Kluyveromyces lactis: one gene and its partners. The protein of the gene in region 1 interacts with the protein of each later gene in a biochemical or structural test. Links are inferred from orthologs where the notes say so. Each region holds a gene or a part of one and is shown in the gene's direction. Other genes may lie near its edges.

Region 1 (2,816 bases):
GATTTTTACTTTCAGAATGACTATTTGAATTTGGAGGAGTATGGTGATGTAAAGAGAACTGTATCTATCTCAGAGTTACCTGCGGTTCTACAAATTCAAATCCAGAGAGTCTATTATGATAGAGAAAAATTCATGCCTTTCAAGTCTATCGAGCCGCTACCTTTCGGCGAAACGTTGTACATGGATAGATATATGGCTACCGAGGATCCAAAACTATTAGCAGAAATTCAACAAAACGCAGAATTGAAACAGAAACTTCAAGACTTAAAGCAAAGACAGAGGAAACTACTCTCACAGAACGAAATAGGATTAACTTTAAAATCCTCGCTCATTGAGACCAAAAAGTTCTTACAGTCCGGTACCTTGAAAGCGCACGATATTGATGCGGACAATATCCCCTCATCGATCGCCTACATTGATATTTTAATCAATAACATAGACGAGGAACTAAAGAGCTTATTCAACAAAATTACAGATCTAGAGACAACTATTTCCCAACAGTTCAGCGAATTCAAACATATCGGCTATTCTTTATTCGCCGTTTTCATTCATCGTGGTGAAGCAAGTTACGGCCATTACTGGGTCTATATTAAAGATCACACCAAAAATGGTATCTGGAGGAAGTATAATGATGACTCAGTTACAGAGGTGCCACAATCGGAAGTATTCAACTTCACGGAGGGTAATACGGCCACTCCATACTTTTTGGTCTACGTCCGTGAAGGTCAAGAACAAGAAACTATCGAACCATTGAAACGAATTCTTCAACAACAGGAGTAACCCGTGTCGCTCTTAAAGTGGCATAAATATGATTTACATTATATTAATTAAAAGATAGATCAGTATGTAATGCAGGAATTGGTAAAATTTATAAGATCTGGCGTTCAGTTAGGCTTACTGTGCGGATACTATCTTCGATTCAATATCCACATGTGAGGGTAAATTGATTTTCGCAAGGCAGGCAGGAGTTCTTAATTAGTTAGTTACCTTGATCTAATTTGAAAAAAAAAAACATCAAAATGAAAAATAACTAACTGATTTTGATCAAACCTAGTTTATATCTATGGTGAATGATTTTAAAGATTTACTCTTCGTGTCACAATTGGCTTTAAGTCATTAGGTTTGACTTGAAGGTAGGATTGGAATTCTGTTATCCGACAATTGGACTGTGACTTGTCAAGAAGTGAACTTGCAAAGTTGCACGCCGAAAAAATAGGGTAAAAATTCATCATGTCTTTACAGCGTCGCCGAGTTAATAAAGGTGATACAACGGAATCAATCCCTCAAATAGATAATGAGCATGATCATAAGATTGTATATGACGAGCAAGAGGCGAAACTAAGGGACAACACTAGTGTTCCTAAGTTGACCTTAATGGAGGAAGTTTTGTTGATGGGACTAAAGGATAAACAGGGATATTTATCATTCTGGAACGATAATATCTCGTACGCCCTACGTGGGTGCATCTTGATAGAACTAGCGTTACGAGGTAAGATTAGATGTGTTGATGATCCAGCAAGAAAGAGATACGATGTCAGTGAGAGATTAATTGAAGTCATAGACGGAAGTAAAACTGGCGAGGTCTTACTTGATGAAAGTTTATCTTTAATGAAGAACGATCCACCAACTTCAATTGTCGGATGGATTGACCTACTTAGTGGCGAGACTTGGAATCTCCTAAAGATCAATTATCAATTGAAACAAGTTAGGGAAAGATTAGCAAAGGGATTGGTTGACAAAGGTGTTTTGAGAACTGAAATGAAGAACTTCTTTTTGTTTGACATGGCCACACACCCGATCACTGATACAACTTGCAAGGAATCTATTAAAAGAAGAATACTATCGATACTGGTTTCAAGGAATGCTGAATTGACTTATAATACCTATTTCCCACAAGATGTTTCCTTTAAATATATTAGAACCTTGTCTTTAATCTGTGGTGCTTATGGTGCTAATGTTCTAGAAAATGTCTTGGCTACCTTAGATTACGAAGTGAGAGATACAGGGTTTGCTCGTGCGGATGAAATTCTAGCTCAATTTTCAGAATTTCCGTTCCCACTCGATAAACAAACAAGCACCGGTGTTTCAGTGAACTTAAATAAAGAGATTTCACAGGAATTAAATAATCATCCGGGTTCAGATTTGCAACTTGAAGTTGTTGCTGGAGTTTTTGAGGTCTTTTCACGTATGGACACATTGTTATAAAGTCCATAGTATTATGATTCGAAGAACAGTGTGGATCATTCACATATATATATATACTTGTATCTCAAAAATTCTACGGACAATATCCGACTAGTTCTAAATCACAATGTAAACTCGATTTGAGCACAAATTCCATTACTTGGTAATGATATTCATTCATTGAAATCTGATATGAAAGGCTGAAGTTAGAGCTTCTGGAAAAGACTTGAAATATAATCCTTGGGGTACTTTTGTAAATGAAATTGCTTTACTTTATCGCTTTTGAACAATGATACAAAGCCTTCAGACAGGCCAATTTCCTTACTAAATGCGTTAACTAGTGACTTCCTGGGGTCTTTGGAATCCCCACAAGATTCCCACCAAAATCCACCGTTCAAGTTTTTCTTCTTGATGTATTTTCCCTTGATATCCATGGATTGAACATTGTCATACCCCACAAATGTTCTGGATTTAGGATCAAAGCAGTAAGCTGAGACTGCATTTGAGTCAAACTGTTCCTTGCTACCATCGATCGGTAGTTGATTATATAACCAAATCCCTGGCTCACCCTCAGATCCACCCCCAACTCCGTGATATTTCTTGCCAAGATAATTATCATCATTTGTTTCGAC
Region 2 (2,759 bases), on another chromosome or scaffold:
CCCTGTACGTCTCCAACTGATGACATTTTTTCTGCACAAATATTGTATGACGAATGCAAAATAACTAGTCAGGTACATTGCGATATCATATAACGCAACTTTCCAAAGATTCATGGTCATGTATCGCAAGATAATTGACTGTGAAAAATCACCATGTTCCTCGTAATATTGTAATGTCACTTTGCAGATGGTGAACGCAACTGCCATCCAAAATAAGACATAGAATCCAGAAAAGTCTGTTGCTATAGTTTCATTTGCAATTTCAATAGTATTATTGTCATCTATCCTCACCGTATTTGATCTGGCTGTTGCCTTTACTCTAGAATATTTCTCGTCTATTGCTGGCCCATTGAAATGAGATCTAAGCGGATTGTTGACCATCTCATCCATGATACTACCTCTAGAGCCCCAGTCTACATCTCGTGTCATGGACTGCATTTCATTCGTATCCTTCTTATATCTGTTCTTTTCCTTCACCTTCAATTTCTGCATGAAAACATGCAGATGTTTGTCGCCTTGTTCGGAGGTGGTTCTAGTCTTAAAGATAACCGTGTCGTTAGGCTGGACCGTGTTGAAAAGAACGTCCGGAGATCCAAGTTCATCGAGAACAGCATCCTCCAACTGTTCCTCATGCAAAGACTTCCTCTTCCCATGGTTGTTGTCGTTCAGCCTTCTTATCCTCAAGAACTGCTCATCCTCAGTTATATCCTTAACGGTGGTATCATGTGAACTGTCACTTGAACCGGACATTATGACAGGTTTTTAATTAAAGATCCAGTTAAATAAATCTTTTATGATATATTAACGTGGATTGACTCTTCACCATGAAATTAGTCTGAGATAAATCTAGGCCAAGTCGTGATTCGTCTTAAGAAGGAAAAAATTCTTGCTAACCTCTCTCTCTCACTCAGACGTTTTAAATATAAATCTCAAATCCGGAATTAACCAATGGTCGTAAGAAGTGTACTGTTAATTACTGAATCTGTTTCCTTTTCCAACCCGTATCGTTTAAACGTCCAAAGTAACTGGCTCTGAATTTCTTCTGATAAATACTCTCAATCCCTTAAATAAACGCCATATGGTGATCCACACCTTCGAGAATTATTCGAGAAAGGAAAAATACAAAAAAAAAGATCACGTGAATGAAAAACATCCATTACCCTGATCCTGTCAGTTTTTCAGTTTTGGACAATTCGCATGGTGGATCAAAGTAAGATAGCATATGGACTCTCAATATTAAAGGATACGTGTGAGATAGACCCGTTAATGAGCCAGTAAAGTCGCTTTCAATACACGATAACGGTTAATTGAAGTTTTCCGACGTCAGATTTGTTGAGAAAAAAATATCAACTCAGAAGAAATGGACTATTTTACTGTAAAACAGCAGTTTTATACTGGTAACTATGAAGAAGCGTTGAACGAAGTTTCTAAGTTTAACAAAACTGAAGATGAGGCGTTGACTTACTACAGAAATAGATCATTGATTGCATTGTCCCAGTTCAGTGAGGGTAGTGCTGATTCTGGCTCACTTGGGCCTGTATTTGAGGCTTACTATAAATTTTTAAGCAAACCTACAGGCTCAATCACTGCACTAGAACAAACCGTTGAAAAGGCGGGCAGATCTCCATTTGCATTGAACTTATTAGCAAGTGCATTGACTATAAAGGGCGAGTTTAAAACTGCTTTGGAGGTTGCCGTTGAAGGAATTGACTCCGATGAAACAAGAGGAACCCCGGAACTACTGTTAACGGCCATCCAAATAACTTTGTTGGATAATCAACCAACCATTGCCTCGACTATGTTTGAAAATTTCCAAGCACTTCAGGAGCAATCGAACGACGATGAAATAATTTTGAATCTTGCAGAGTCATACATCAACTTCAACCAGGGTAAAGAGATCACTGGATCCAATTTCTATTTCTTTGAAGAGTTGTCTCAAACTTTCCCAAGTTGGAAGACTCAATTAGGCCTATTGAATTTACACCTCCAACAATCGCATTTGCCTGAATCCAAAGCAATCATCGACCTCTTAGAAAGCGAGTTCTACGATATCAAACAAGAAGCACAAACGTACAAGCCTGATCTACTTGCAAATAAGATTACGTACACCATCTTATCTGGTGGAAATGCAAACGAATTGAGATCGGAATTGCAACAATTGAAACCATCTCACCCACTATGTGTTGCCGACCTTGAAAATAACAAGACTTTCGATCAAATTGTGGCAAAGTACACAGCCTAAATCTATATATATCAAATAGATCTTGAGTAGCAAATAGTATTGGTATTGGCGATACTTTCCGGGTAACATTGTTCTTTTTCCCATCAATTTCGTGGGAACTGTCAAGATAAAGCGGATTGATCAAACATCCTATACAATGTGAAGGGTTAGTTTTGAAACCAGTCACTCGGTATCGTTTTACAAGGCACCTGCGTTGTATTTAGTTCGAATATTCAGGGGAGTTGATCTTCTTATTTTGATTGTCGATCTAATTCTACTTTAGTTTCCCCCGAATTGAGCTGTAATTCACACAGAATTTGGAGTTTACAAGATGGCTACTGAATTGTCTGATGCTGAGAAACGTAAATTGTTGAGGGAAAGAAGGCAACAGAAGTTTTCCAACGGAGGTGCTTCCAGCAGGTTGAACAAGATCACTGGTCAACAGCAGAATAGCTTTTTGTCTTCAACATCTGTTCTTGATGAGCCAAAAGTTACTCCGTCAGGTAACAAGAAATCATCCAATGTGAGTGACGAAGAA
Region 3 (4,344 bases), about 960 kb from region 1:
CCCGCAATTATCATCTGCCATGTTTCAACAGCAACCCCAGGCTCAAGCGGCTCAAGCTCAGGGGAATGTGTTCTCGGAACAAACCCGCAGGAAATATTTCCCACAATTGAAACCTTACTTCCCAAATAACCAAGGCCAGGGTCAAGGCCAGCCTCAAGGGCAGGCTCAGGGTCAAAATCAAACCCAGGGCCAACAGCAACAACAGCAACCCCAAAATATGCCTCCTGGTTTGCAACAAGGAATGCCCCACCCAGTAGTAGAAAACAACCAACTTCCAGGTCAGATGCCTGGGATGGGCCAAGGGCCAACTGCAGGACCAAGTTCAGTTCCTGGGCCAGGTCCCACACCAGCAGGAATAACACATGCGCTAGATGATCCAAATGTCTACCATTGGATATGCCAGCTCACTTACGGGCCAAGCAAAGAACAAGCGCTTCTAGAACTAGGTAAGAAACGTGAACAGTATGAGGATTTGGCTATCGTGCTGTGGTCCAGTTTCGGTGTGATGACGTCGTTGCTAAAGGAAATAATTTCAATTTATCCGCTTCTTTCACCTCCTGCATTATCAAACCAGTTATCAAACCGCGTATGCAACGCTTTGGTGCTCTTACAATGTGTCGCATCACACCCAGATATCAGGCCTCAATTCTTACAGGCTCACATCCCGTTGTTCCTTTTCCCATTCTTATCTACGACATCAAACCAAAGAACTTTTGAATATTTAAGGCTAACTTCACTAGGTGTCATCGGTGCTCTAGTGAAAAACGATTCTGCAGAAGTGATCAGTTTCCTTCTAAGGACAGATATTATCCCATTATGTTTAAGAATCATGGAAAACTCTTCAGAACTTTCGAAGATCGTCGCTATCTTCATCTTACAGAAAATATTATTAGACGATAACGGACTCCAGTTCGTATGCGCGACCCCAGAACGGTTCTACGCGGTGTCACAAGTTTTGGCAACTATGTTTAAGCACATGTCCCAACAACAGGTGCCGGGAAGATTATTGAAACATGTTGTAAGATGCTACCTAAGATTATCGGATAATTTAGAAGCCAGAAGATTGTTGAAACAAGTTTTGCCGCAACAACTAAGAGATAACACCTTCAATGAAGCACTACAGGACGATGTAGGTACCAAGAGATGTCTTGCACAACTACTCCTGACTCTAGATGAACAGCAGCAGTGATCTTGCCTGCTATATCATATATATCTCCATATCCATATATATATATATATATACATATATATCATAATTAAAAAACAAGTGTTACCCTCACTTTCACACACCCGCTTCACTTTTTTTTTCATTCCAAAGGACTTCTACCGATTTGCAAACTGAAAACATTATGAATATAAATATATACCATACCACACGGCAAAAAGAATTGGATAAAACACGAGGTTAATAGGCTCAAAATTGGCTACTAAAGGTTAGTACGTCATTTGAAGGTATCCTAGCACTGCCAATTGCATGTCTGCACAAACTTATAAGAAGTCTGAGGACCCACACAGTGGGTCCTTGCCAGACAAAATGGCGATCTATCAGGATTGTTTGAATCGGTTCAATGAATCTCCTGTGAATCCTAAACTGTGCCGTACCCTGATCACAAGCTTGTTGGAACTATTGTCGCATGGTGAGACTTTCCCTAGACAAGAAGCTACTGCTTTATTCTTTTCCATTTCGAAATTGTTCCAACACCCTAACGATTCTTTGAGACAAATCGTTTACGTGGCTATTAAGGAATTGTGTGGAATCTCCGATGATATCTTGATGGCTACTTCTTCAATTATGAAAGATGTTCAAAATGGTTCAGATCTAGTGAAGCCTAATGCTATTAGAGCATTGATCCGTGTCTTGGATGAGTCCACTGCATTTTCTGCAGAAAGATTATTGAAAAATTCGTTGGTTAGCAAACATCCATCTATTTGTTCTGCTTCTTTGGTCAGTTCATACCATTTATTACCAATCGCTGAAACTACGGTGAAGAGATTTGCTAATGAGACTCAGGAAGCCGTTGGTGATTTGAAACAGTTGCCATATCCAGATGAGAACAGTAGATATTATCCAACTACGTCTCATATCTCTCAATACCATGCATTGGGTTTGTTGTACCAATTGAAGAATCACGATAAGATGGCTTTGATCAAATTGATCCAACAGTTTGCCGGTCATTCTTCACCATTGAAAAATCAATTGGCTCAAGTACAAATGGTTAAATTCGTGCACCAATTGGTTTTGAAGGATCCTAACTCCATCCCCCAGTTCTTACCACTAATAGCTAATTGGTTGCAAAGCAGACACGAGGCTGTTGCTTTGGAAGCTTGTAAGCTTACTGCGTCTCTATCCAACTTGGTTCCTAACGATTTGTTTGCAGCAGCGGTTTCTGTCTTGCAAGGATTCTTGTCCACTCCTCGTGTGACAACCAGATTTGCTGCAGTGCGTTTGTTGAACAAGATTTCTATGGTTTCACCAGAGAAAATTGTGGTATGTAATCCACAATTGGAATCTCTTGTTAACGATAGCAACAGAAACATTTCCACTTACACAATCACTACCTTGTTGAAGACTGGTACCGACAAGAACATTGGTTCTTTGATTAAGACAATTACCAAGTTCATCCACGAGGTGAATGACGATTTCAAGATCATCATTATTGATGCTATTAGAACTCTTTCTCTAAATTTCCCTGAGGAATGTGATACAATATTACATTTCTTGATGGAATCCTTACAATCTGCCGAAGGCAGTCTTCAATTCAAAAATAGTGTCGTGGAAGCATTAATTGATTTAATTCAATTCGTCCCACAATCTAAGGAAAAAGCTTTAGAAGAATTATGTGATTTCATCGAAGATTGTGAATATAATGAAATATTGGTTAGAATCTTACATCTATTGGGTAAGGAGGGTCCAACCACTAAGAACCCGTCATTATACGTGAGACACATTTACAATAGAGTTATTCTAGAGAATTCTATCATCAGATCTGCTGCTGTGTTGTCTCTTTCCAAATTTGCACTTGTTAAGAATGACCCTGAGTTAGTAGAAAGTATTGAACAGCTATTGACTCAAATCAAGACTGATTCAGATGATGAAGTTAGAGATAGAGCATCCATTGCTTTGCAATTCATCGATTCGGTTAAGTCCAAGAAAGATGTTTCCAATATCGCACAAAATTTCATTCGCCCAACTTCTACCTATGACGTTGTTGCTCTTGAATCAAAACTATCACACTATTTGTCACAAGGCCAAGAGGCATTCAAGACTCCATTTGACGTCTCGTCAGTTGCCAAATACTCCGAAGACGAGAAGAAGGCATTGGATTTGAAACGCAGACAAGAGCAAGCCTTCAACCATACAGAAGAATCTTCCAACAGTGGTGCCGGAAATGGTAACGGTACTGAAAAGGGTGGTAGAAAGGGTGATAGATTGGATGACAATAGCTTCAATGGACCTTCATTGGAATCTGAAGAAGAAGATTTGCTATTGTCCAAATACGTGGATGAAATGTCCTCCTTGGAACAATTCCAGTCCTTTGGCAAGTGTATCCATTCTTCCAAGATTGTCCCATTAACGGAAATTGAAGCTGAATTCGTTGTGAAGGGTATCAAGCATTTGTTTGACGAGCACGTTGTATTACAATTCCATATCACTAACACATTGAAGGACGTTGCGCTTGATAACGTTGAAGTGGTATGCCAACAAGAAGGATTATCAGAGGGTTTACTTGACGAACAAGAGGAATTTGTTTTGCCTATTGAAAGACTCTTACCCAATGAAGGAGAGTCATGTTACGTATCGTTCAAGAAACTAACACAGAACAAGGATGATATCATTGTAGAAAGATTCAGCAACTCGTTGAAATTCCAATCCAAGGAATTAGACCCATCTACCTCTTTGCCATTCGAAGATGACGAAGGGTTCCAAGATGAATACGAATTTGATTCATTGTTCTTGAGTCCCGGTGACTACATGAAACCATCATTCGTAAGCAATTTTGCCACCTCTTTGGAAGAACTACCTTATGAATCCGTCTCTGTCTACAACATTGTCGAAACTAACACACTACAAGAAGTCATCGACAAGTTAGTCATTAGCGCTGGTGGTTTACCTTTGGAAAACTCACAAATAGTATCCCACGATGCCACCCAACATACTCTAAAACTTTCAGGAAAATGTATCTTAGACAACACTAAAGCCCTGCTTTCCATCAAGATGATCAAGACAAGTAAGGGTATTGCAATTAAGGCTCTAGTGAAATCCGACAAGGAATCGTTGGCAGAAGACTTATCAAACAACTTGATATAATATATGTACATTTGAAAACAAAAAAAAAACCTATA
Region 4 (4,041 bases), on another chromosome or scaffold:
CATCTAAAAAAGGTGCAGCATCTTCGTTATTAAGTAATACTGAATCTCGTCAATCTTCAGCACTGGAAGCAAAGTCCATTGATAACGACACCATCAACACGACTCCGTCATCAGAATTCAAGAAAAGTTTGACCAAGGGATCGATTCCAGATAAAAATGTTCGACTCATCTCAAGCTACATAGAAGAGCTACGGCTCTTGTACTTCCCCACGTCAAATTCCTTACAGTTGCCTCCAGATCTACCTTATGCTTTGAAGAACAAGAATACTCTTGAACAACCACAAAATATCAAAGTTACAATACGAACAAGTACTAGACAAGTCGGTATAAAGCACGGCAAGGCCAAACAGAAGCTATTATCACTTGAAACTACAAAAGAAGAGGAAGAAGAAGAGGAAAATAACAGTACTACAGGCCTCAAATTCAATACCGAGTCCACAAAAGTTGATCATACTAAGGAATTTCATACTTTGTTCAACAAGGATGAAAAAATTTCCGAGGCAGACCAAGATATTCTTGATGATATTCCTGGTGATGAGGCATACGATAGCGATGATTTAATGGCACCGTTGCGTGAGAACCCAAAACAAAGAATTCATGACGAAGTTTCCCAAACGCGCTTGAAAAGATCAGATACTGTATCCAGCTATTTCACGAGAAATGCTGGTAGAATGAGAAGCGGTACTCTAGACGTAACGTACAGTCCACAGCTACCACTAGATCTACGGAAATATAACCTGATTGAAGAATCTCAAAAGCCATGTACTCCTGCAGTACATGAAAAAGGTGACACTAATCCCAAATCTCATAAATCTAGCATTTCGAATGCTGACGATGATTACGAGCTTGACGTAGCAGATTTCGGTTACTACCGCGGTACCGCTGGAACAGGATTGCATATAACCAACCCAGATTCAGAATAAACTATCATTCAAACAATATTACTGCTGCATCTATATCTTGATCTATACGTATCTTGTACCAATGTATATATTAACGTTTCTAATACCCGGTCAAATTCATTGTTACCCGTACTTTGTTTTATGTTGATTTTCAGGACGAAAATGAGATTCTGAAATAAAGAACATGCTGTTTTGGAACAGTTCTGTTATGAAATAACATATGCGAGAACCAGGAAGTTAAAAGAAGCTACACAAGACACACAGGTCAATTGAGGTATGACAGTCGGCGTCGAACAACCTGCGTATACGTTAGTGTACGACCCCAATCCAAATGGGGTCACATATACCGTATCAGACTTCCAAAAGGCATTGGAAAAGGGGTCTGATACTGAAAAGATCGCGACCATGAAGAGGATCTTGGTGACCATGTTAGATGGTAATCCATTACCAGATTTGTTGATGCACATCATCAGATTTGTGATGCCTTCAAAGAACAAGCAATTGAAGAAGCTTTTATACTTTTACTGGGAAATTGTTCCAAAATTAGATCGTGAAGGTAAATTGAAGCAAGAAATGATTCTTGTCTGCAACGCTATCCAACATGATTTGCAACATCCAAACGAATACATCAGGGGCAATACCTTAAGATTCTTGACGAAATTGAAAGAAGCAGAACTTTTAGAGCAAATGGTTCCTTCTGTCCGTGCTTGTTTGGAATACAGACACGCATACGTTCGTAAGTATGCAATCTTAGCAGTTCTTTCCATTTACAAAGTCAGCGACCATTTGATTCCTGATGCTTGTGAAGTGATTGATTCCTTTTTGGTTGCAGAAACTGATCCAATTTGTAAGAGAAATGCTTTCCTAGGTCTTGCAGAATTGGACCGTGAAGCTGCGTTGAACTACCTACAGGACAACCTAACTTCGATTGAAAATTTGGATGCTTTGCTACAAAACGCCTTCATTAGTTTCATTAGAAAGGATGCTATCAAAACTCCAGGATTGGTCTCTCAGTATGTTGAATTGTTGCAAGATCTTTTAGTTTCTACTCGTTCTACGGATGTCATGTACGAAGCTGCCATTACTTTAACTGTTCTAACCAATAAAGAAGCTATTTTATTGACCGTAGCTAACAAGCTAATTGATTTGGCCACAAAAGAATCTGATAACAACATCAAGTTGGTTGTTTTAGAAAAAATCAACGAAATAAACGAGAAGAATCCAGGCTCTTTAGAGGATCTAACATTGGATATTCTACGTGTTTTGAACGCACAAGATTTGGATGTCCGTGCTAAGGCTTTGGATATCTCCTTAGAATTGATTACGTCCAGAAACGTAGACAGTGTAGTTAAGTTATTGAGGAAAGAATTACAATCTACTGCTGATAGCAGTAACGATAAAACTCTGGAGTACAGGCAATTATTGATCAAATCCATTAACAAAGTGGCAATAAGATTTATTGAAGTCTCCTCCAATGTTGTCTCATTGCTTCTAGATTTTATCGGTAACTTGTCGTCTGAAAGTGCCAATGATGTCATTTCCTTTACAAAACAGGTCATTGAAAGGTATCCTGAGTTAAGATCTGAGATTTTAACTACTTTGATTGAGACATTGCATGAAGTAAAGTCAGCAAAGGCTTACCGTGGTGCTCTTTGGGTACTAGGTGAGCATGCCCAATCCGAAGCAGAAATCCAGAATACCTGGAAGCACATCCGTTCAAGTATAGGTGAAGTTCCAATTGTTCAATCTGAACTGAGAAGAGTTCAAAATGATGACGAAGACGATACTGAAAAGGCCCCAATAGTATCCACAGGGCCGGTAGTTTTGCCAGATGGTACTTATGCAACCGAATCTGCTCTATCTGTCTCAGAAAAGGTCAAATCCACCTCAAACGAGGAAAAAGAAGCAAGACCTCCTTTACGTCGTTTCGTCCTAAATGGAGATTTCTTTACTGCCTCTGTGTTGGCTAACTCTATCGTTAAATTGGTGTTGAAATTCGAAAAGATTTCCAAGAACACTTCTGTAACTAACGCCCTAAAGGCCGAAGGGTTGTTGATTTTGGTTAGTATCATCAGATTAGGTCAAAGTAACTTAGTAGAAAAGAAGATTGACGAGGACTCTGCTGAAAGACTAATGACGGCAATTTCGGTATTGATGGACGAGATTTCTACCGAAGAAAGTCAAGCAGAGAAAGAACTTTTGAGTTTGGCATTCTTGGAAGCTACCAACGAATCATACAAATCAAGAGTCAATGTTACTTTGAAGAAGAATGCTGCCAAGAGATCAAACTACCTAGCCAAGCACGCCGAGGCCATCGATAAATCCATCGTTTTCAGACAATTTAAGAATGCAGGCTTGCACAATACCCCCGTCGATTCAATCGAAGAAGATATAAAATTGGCTACCACCGGTACTGTATCATATTCCAAACTACAAGCTAATTCTATCACTTCAAAATTGAAGAAGATCGTCCCATTGACTGGTTTCAGCGATCCTGTTTATGCCGAGTGTTATATCACTAATCACCAATTCGATGTTGTGTTAGATGTTCTATTAGTGAACCAAACCAAGGATACTTTGAAAAACCTACATGTTCAATTCGCTACTCTTGGTGACTTAAAAATTATTGACCACCCACCTAGCACCAACGTTATTCCACATGGGTTCCACAAAATTACGATAACAGCAAAGGTGTCCTCAGCAGATACTGGTGTTATTTTCGGTAACATTATATATGATGGTGGTCACGGTCAAGATTCTCGTTATGTCATCTTGAATGACGTTCATATCGACACAATGGATTATGTGAAACCAGCAATCTGCGATGATAACAGTTTCCGTAAGATGTGGAATGCGTTTGAATGGGAAAATAAACTTCGTATCAAATCCAAATTACCATCTTTACGCGGTTATTTAGAGAAGTTGGTGGAAGTTACACATATGAAGGTTCTAACCCCTGAAGAGGCACTCGGCGACAATGATTCCAGATTCCTAAGTTGTAACTTATATTCTAGATCTACATTTGGCGAGGACGCTTTGGCTAACCTGTGCATAGAGAAGGATCCAATCACACAAGAAATTGTTGGTGAAATCCGTATTCGTTCAAAGACCCAAGGGTTAGCTTTAACCAATGGTGACA
Region 5 (4,188 bases), on another chromosome or scaffold:
CCAAGGTGAATTAAATCACACAAGGATGGAAAAGCTAGAACTAAGTTCTGACAGTTTTGAAAATACTCATATTTACGAAGTCGATTGGGACCAAGATAGAATCAACTGGATTGTGGACGGTGTAGTAGCTAGAACATTATACAAGGAAGATACATGGAATGAGGAAAAACAAAGATACGAATATCCACAAACACCAATGAGATTGCAAGTGTCGGTGTGGCCAGGTGGAAGAGAAGATGCTGACCCTGGTACCATAATGTGGGCTGGAGGGCTCATTGATTGGGAAAACTCGCCCGATATACTTGAGAAGGGTCAATTTTATGCAACTGTGGAATCAATAGCCGTTACACCTTACGAAAACAAATTCTGGCCATCAATAGTTGATGAACTAGAAAGATTACATTTACCTATTGATGCTAATTCATTGTTAGATATTACTTACGATTACAATTATGACAAGTTTAATGAGCATACGTGGTTTGAAGATTCAGTCATTTGGAAGAAGGGCAAATTACCTTATTTATCTTCCTTGGACAAGAATGGCCTAAATCCGGGAAGACAGCAACAAAGTCTTTTGGTAGGTAAACAATTGAAGCAAGAGCAGGGAGATGGGCCGGATCAGAGTCCTTCAAACAGGTTTATTCAAGACACTAATAAACCATCGGAAAAAAATCATGAAGAACAAGATTTGCTCCTACGAAACGCTCTGCAGTCACGCGATGCTACCACAAATGGGGGTTCCAGTCACAATAACAGAAATCCTATCAAAAGATTGCTTAATATGCTACATTAATCAGTAAAGGTTGCCCAGATGTTCACATCTACACTATACATGTATAGATATATAGACCTATGTATACCACTCTCGTATATGCTATCTCTTCTAGCATTCTCTTACGCATAGAATCTGTAGAGATGCGTCTGGCACAAATTCGGGTAATTATTACCCTACCATTACGTCCTTTGCATACTCTTCGGATTCTTCCAATTTTCAAAAAGGACAACTTTTCAAATAAAACACGATCTTATTTCAAAATAGTAAGCCATATGTGTATTTTAAGTAATTTTATGAACCTTGAATGAAGCTGACTTTGGCTAATAAACAACGATCAAGGTACTTTGTCGTCTAATTGAGTTGTCAGTGAGGACTAACCATCGAAGGAAAGCTTCAATCGTAACCAATTGGTATATTGTTAACTGCAATTGTGACGTTTTCTTCCGAGTTATTCTTCTTATATTTCTCACAGTTTTTACTCAGATTTAGATCGAAGTCTTGAAAAGCTTGCTTTCATCATGAAGATGTTAACTAAGTTCGAATCAAAGTCTACCAGGGCGAAAGGTATTGCTTTTCATCCGTCTAGGCCTTGGGTTCTGGTAGCACTTTTCTCATCAACCATCCAATTATGGGATTACCGTATGGGTGTTTTGCTTCACCGTTTTGAAGATCATGAGGGTCCGGTACGTGGCATTGATTTCCATCCAACGCAACCTCTTTTCGTTTCTGCAGGTGATGATTATACTATCAAAGTATGGTCTTTAGAGAGCAACAAGTGTCTATTCACATTGGACGGCCATTTAGACTATGTTCGTACAGTATTCTTCCATCACGAATTGCCATGGATTATTTCCAGTTCCGACGATCAAACCATCAGAATCTGGAACTGGCAGAACAGAAAGGAAATAGCATGTTTAACTGGCCATAACCACTTCGTAATGTGTGCCCAATTCCATCCAGTCGAAGATTTGGTGGTTTCTGCTTCTTTGGATGAAACCGTTAGAGTTTGGGATATTTCAGGGCTAAGAAAAAGACATTCCGCACCAGGCACTCAATCATTCGAAGAACAAATGAGACAGCAACAGAACTTACTTGACGGAGGATTTGGAGATTGTGTGGTGAAGTTCATTTTAGAAGGCCACACTAGAGGAGTAAATTGGGCTTCTTTCCATCCAACTTTACCATTGATCGTTTCCGGTTCTGATGATCGTCAAGTGAAATTGTGGAGAATGAGTGCCACAAAGGCATGGGAGGTCGATACTTGTAGAGGTCATACCAACAACGTTGATTCCGTCATTTTCCATCCTCAACAGAATCTCATTATATCAGTTGGTGAGGATAAAACCGTAAGAGTATGGGACTTGGACAAGCGTACTCCAATTAAACAGTTCAAAAGAGAAAATGACAGATTCTGGTTAGTGAGAGCTCACCCAAACCTAAATCTGTTCGGTGCTGCTCATGATTCTGGTATTATGATCTTTAAGTTGGACCGTGAAAGACCACCAACTGCTATAAACCAAAATCAGTTGTTCTTTATCAACAGGGAGAAACAAGTCCAAATGTTTGATTACCACAAGAGAATCACTTCTCTACCTTATCTTTCTTTGAAAAACATCGGCAAGACCTGGAGTTCATTTAGAAGTATGTCTTATAACCCATCCCAACATTCCGTCCTTGTCAACTCCTCCGAAAAGGAAGCCAACAGGTTCAGCTTATGTGTCTTACCTAAACAACCTAGTGGAGCTGTTGAAGCTAGCAACGTCATCTCTGATGATGGTAGTTTTGCGATCTTCGTTGCTCGTAACAGATTTGTGGTGCACAATGGCAGCACTAATAGCTTGGAGGTTCGTAGTTTAGATAACAAAACCACAAAGTCAATCAAATTAACTGATACTGTTAAAGACATCACATTAGCTGCTCCTGGTACTGTTTTGATTCTATATTCTCATTCTGTGGTAATGATGGACGTCCAACAAGGTAAAATTCTTCATGAATTATCTTTAAAGAACATCAAGTATACAGTGTGGTCTCAAGATGGCCAATATGTTGCATTGATGAGTAAGCATACATTGACAATCGCAAACAGAAAACTGGAAATCGTTACATCAAACCATGAAAGTATTAGAATCAAGAGTGCAAGTTGGGATGAAACCGGTGTCCTAATTTATTCAACATTGAACCATATCAAATACTGTCTATTGAATGGTGATTCTGGTATCATTAAAACCTTAGAAAGAACATTATACATCAACAAGGTACATGGCAAATTTGTCTATGCTTTGAATCGTGAAGGGGAAGTAGAGATTTTGACAATTGATCCTACTGAATATCGTTTCAAGAAGACTTTAGTCAACAAAAATTTCCCTGAGGTATTGCGTATCATTAAAAATTCAAATTTAGTTGGTCAAAACATCATATCTTATCTTCAAAAATCAGGCTATCCTGAAATTGCGTTACAATTCGTGGAGGATCCTCAAACAAGATTTGATTTGGCTACACAATACGGTAATTTGACAGTTGCTCTTGAAGAAGCTGAGAAATTGAACAATGAACTTGTATGGGAAAGATTGGGCAAAGAAGCTTTGATCCAAGGTAACACAGATATCGCTGAATTGGTATATCAAAACACTAAGCAGTTTGATAAACTGTCTTTCCTATATCTACTTAAGGGAGACAACTCCAAACTGGCAAAAATGGAGTCTATTGCTGAACATAGATCAGATATTTCCGGCTTGATTCAAAATACCTTTTACAATAACTCAGTTCAGAAGCGTGCAAATGTCTTTTTAAATGCAGGCTCTGCTCCTTTGGCTTATGCAGTGGCAAAAGCTAACGGCGACGATGACCTTGCCACTTCCATTTTGGAATCCGAAGAAATTGATGAGCAAGACATTTCCCTACCAACTGAACTCAACTCCTCCACAAATGTAAAAACCCCTGTCATTTCTGCTCCTTTGAAAAACTGGCCGTTAAAGCAAGCTGAAGTCTCATTCTTTGAAAAAGCCCTTTTGGGCCAAATCGAAGATCTTGAAATTTCTGATGATAAGGAAGAAAATGTTTCAGATACTACCCAAAATGTTGGCCAGTTTGATTTAGGAGAACAAGATAACCTAGACTTTGATGATGAAGCTGTTGGAGAGGAAGAAGATGCTTGGGACCTAGACCAAAATGATTTGGAATTAGACGACGAGTTAGAGATCGAAGAATCCGAAGTGACTGAAGAACAAGTAGATGAATCAGAATTGCCAATGTGGGTTAAAAATTCAAAGCTTCCAGCAGTTCTAGTAGCCGCTGGAGCCTTTGATGCTGCTGCCCAAGCCTTGAATAAGCAGGTAGCCGTTGTAAACTTCGAACCCCTCAGGACACCATTCATTGATATATACGATGGTGCAAGAACTTATATGAGTGCTACA

What was found.
Region 2: the proteins of VPS74 (region 1) and SEC28 form a complex in vitro, tested with the Saccharomyces cerevisiae proteins (2 studies listed by BioGRID). The link is inferred for Kluyveromyces lactis from reciprocal best matches to the Saccharomyces cerevisiae genes VPS74 and SEC28.
Region 3: the proteins of VPS74 (region 1) and SEC21 form a complex in vitro, tested with the Saccharomyces cerevisiae proteins (2 studies listed by BioGRID). The link is inferred for Kluyveromyces lactis from reciprocal best matches to the Saccharomyces cerevisiae genes VPS74 and SEC21.
Region 4: the proteins of VPS74 (region 1) and SEC26 form a complex in vitro, tested with the Saccharomyces cerevisiae proteins (2 studies listed by BioGRID). The link is inferred for Kluyveromyces lactis from reciprocal best matches to the Saccharomyces cerevisiae genes VPS74 and SEC26.
Region 5: the proteins of VPS74 (region 1) and COP1 form a complex in vitro, tested with the Saccharomyces cerevisiae proteins (2 studies listed by BioGRID). The link is inferred for Kluyveromyces lactis from reciprocal best matches to the Saccharomyces cerevisiae genes VPS74 and COP1.

Annotation. Positions count from the first base shown.
Region 1 is NC_006041.1:216,611-219,426, reverse strand, and holds VPS74 (Vps74p), read left to right. Parts: upstream 1-1,230; coding exon 1,231-2,205; downstream 2,206-2,816. Other genes in the region: ubiquitin-specific protease UBP2, read left to right, coding at 1-780; CTS2 (putative chitinase), read right to left, coding at 2,391-2,816.
Region 2 is NC_006039.1:798,460-801,218, forward strand, and holds SEC28 (coatomer subunit epsilon), read left to right. Parts: upstream 1-1,360; coding exon 1,361-2,242; downstream 2,243-2,759. Other genes in the region: ARE2 (sterol acyltransferase), read right to left, coding at 1-750; GET complex subunit GET2, read left to right, coding at 2,553-2,759. UniProt on the Saccharomyces cerevisiae protein: The coatomer is a cytosolic protein complex that binds to dilysine motifs and reversibly associates with Golgi non-clathrin-coated vesicles, which further mediate biosynthetic protein transport from the ER, via the Golgi up to the trans Golgi network.
Region 3 is NC_006041.1:1,173,033-1,177,376, forward strand, and holds SEC21 (coatomer subunit gamma), read left to right. Parts: upstream 1-1,474; coding exon 1,475-4,309; downstream 4,310-4,344. Other genes in the region: CCR4-NOT core subunit CAF40, read left to right, coding at 1-1,189. UniProt on the Saccharomyces cerevisiae protein: The coatomer is a cytosolic protein complex that binds to dilysine motifs and reversibly associates with Golgi non-clathrin-coated vesicles, which further mediate biosynthetic protein transport from the ER, via the Golgi up to the trans Golgi network.
Region 4 is NC_006039.1:1,329,065-1,333,105, reverse strand, and holds the start of SEC26 (coatomer subunit beta), read left to right. Parts: upstream 1-1,178; coding exon 1,179-4,041. Other genes in the region: KLLA0_C15301g (uncharacterized protein), read left to right, coding at 1-923. UniProt on the Saccharomyces cerevisiae protein: The coatomer is a cytosolic protein complex that binds to dilysine motifs and reversibly associates with Golgi non-clathrin-coated vesicles, which further mediate biosynthetic protein transport from the ER, via the Golgi up to the trans Golgi network.
Region 5 is NC_006042.1:478,788-482,975, reverse strand, and holds the start of COP1 (coatomer subunit alpha), read left to right. Parts: upstream 1-1,293; coding exon 1,294-4,188. Other genes in the region: CRR1 (putative glycosylase), read left to right, coding at 1-793. UniProt on the Saccharomyces cerevisiae protein: The coatomer is a cytosolic protein complex that binds to dilysine motifs and reversibly associates with Golgi non-clathrin-coated vesicles, which further mediate biosynthetic protein transport from the ER, via the Golgi up to the trans Golgi network.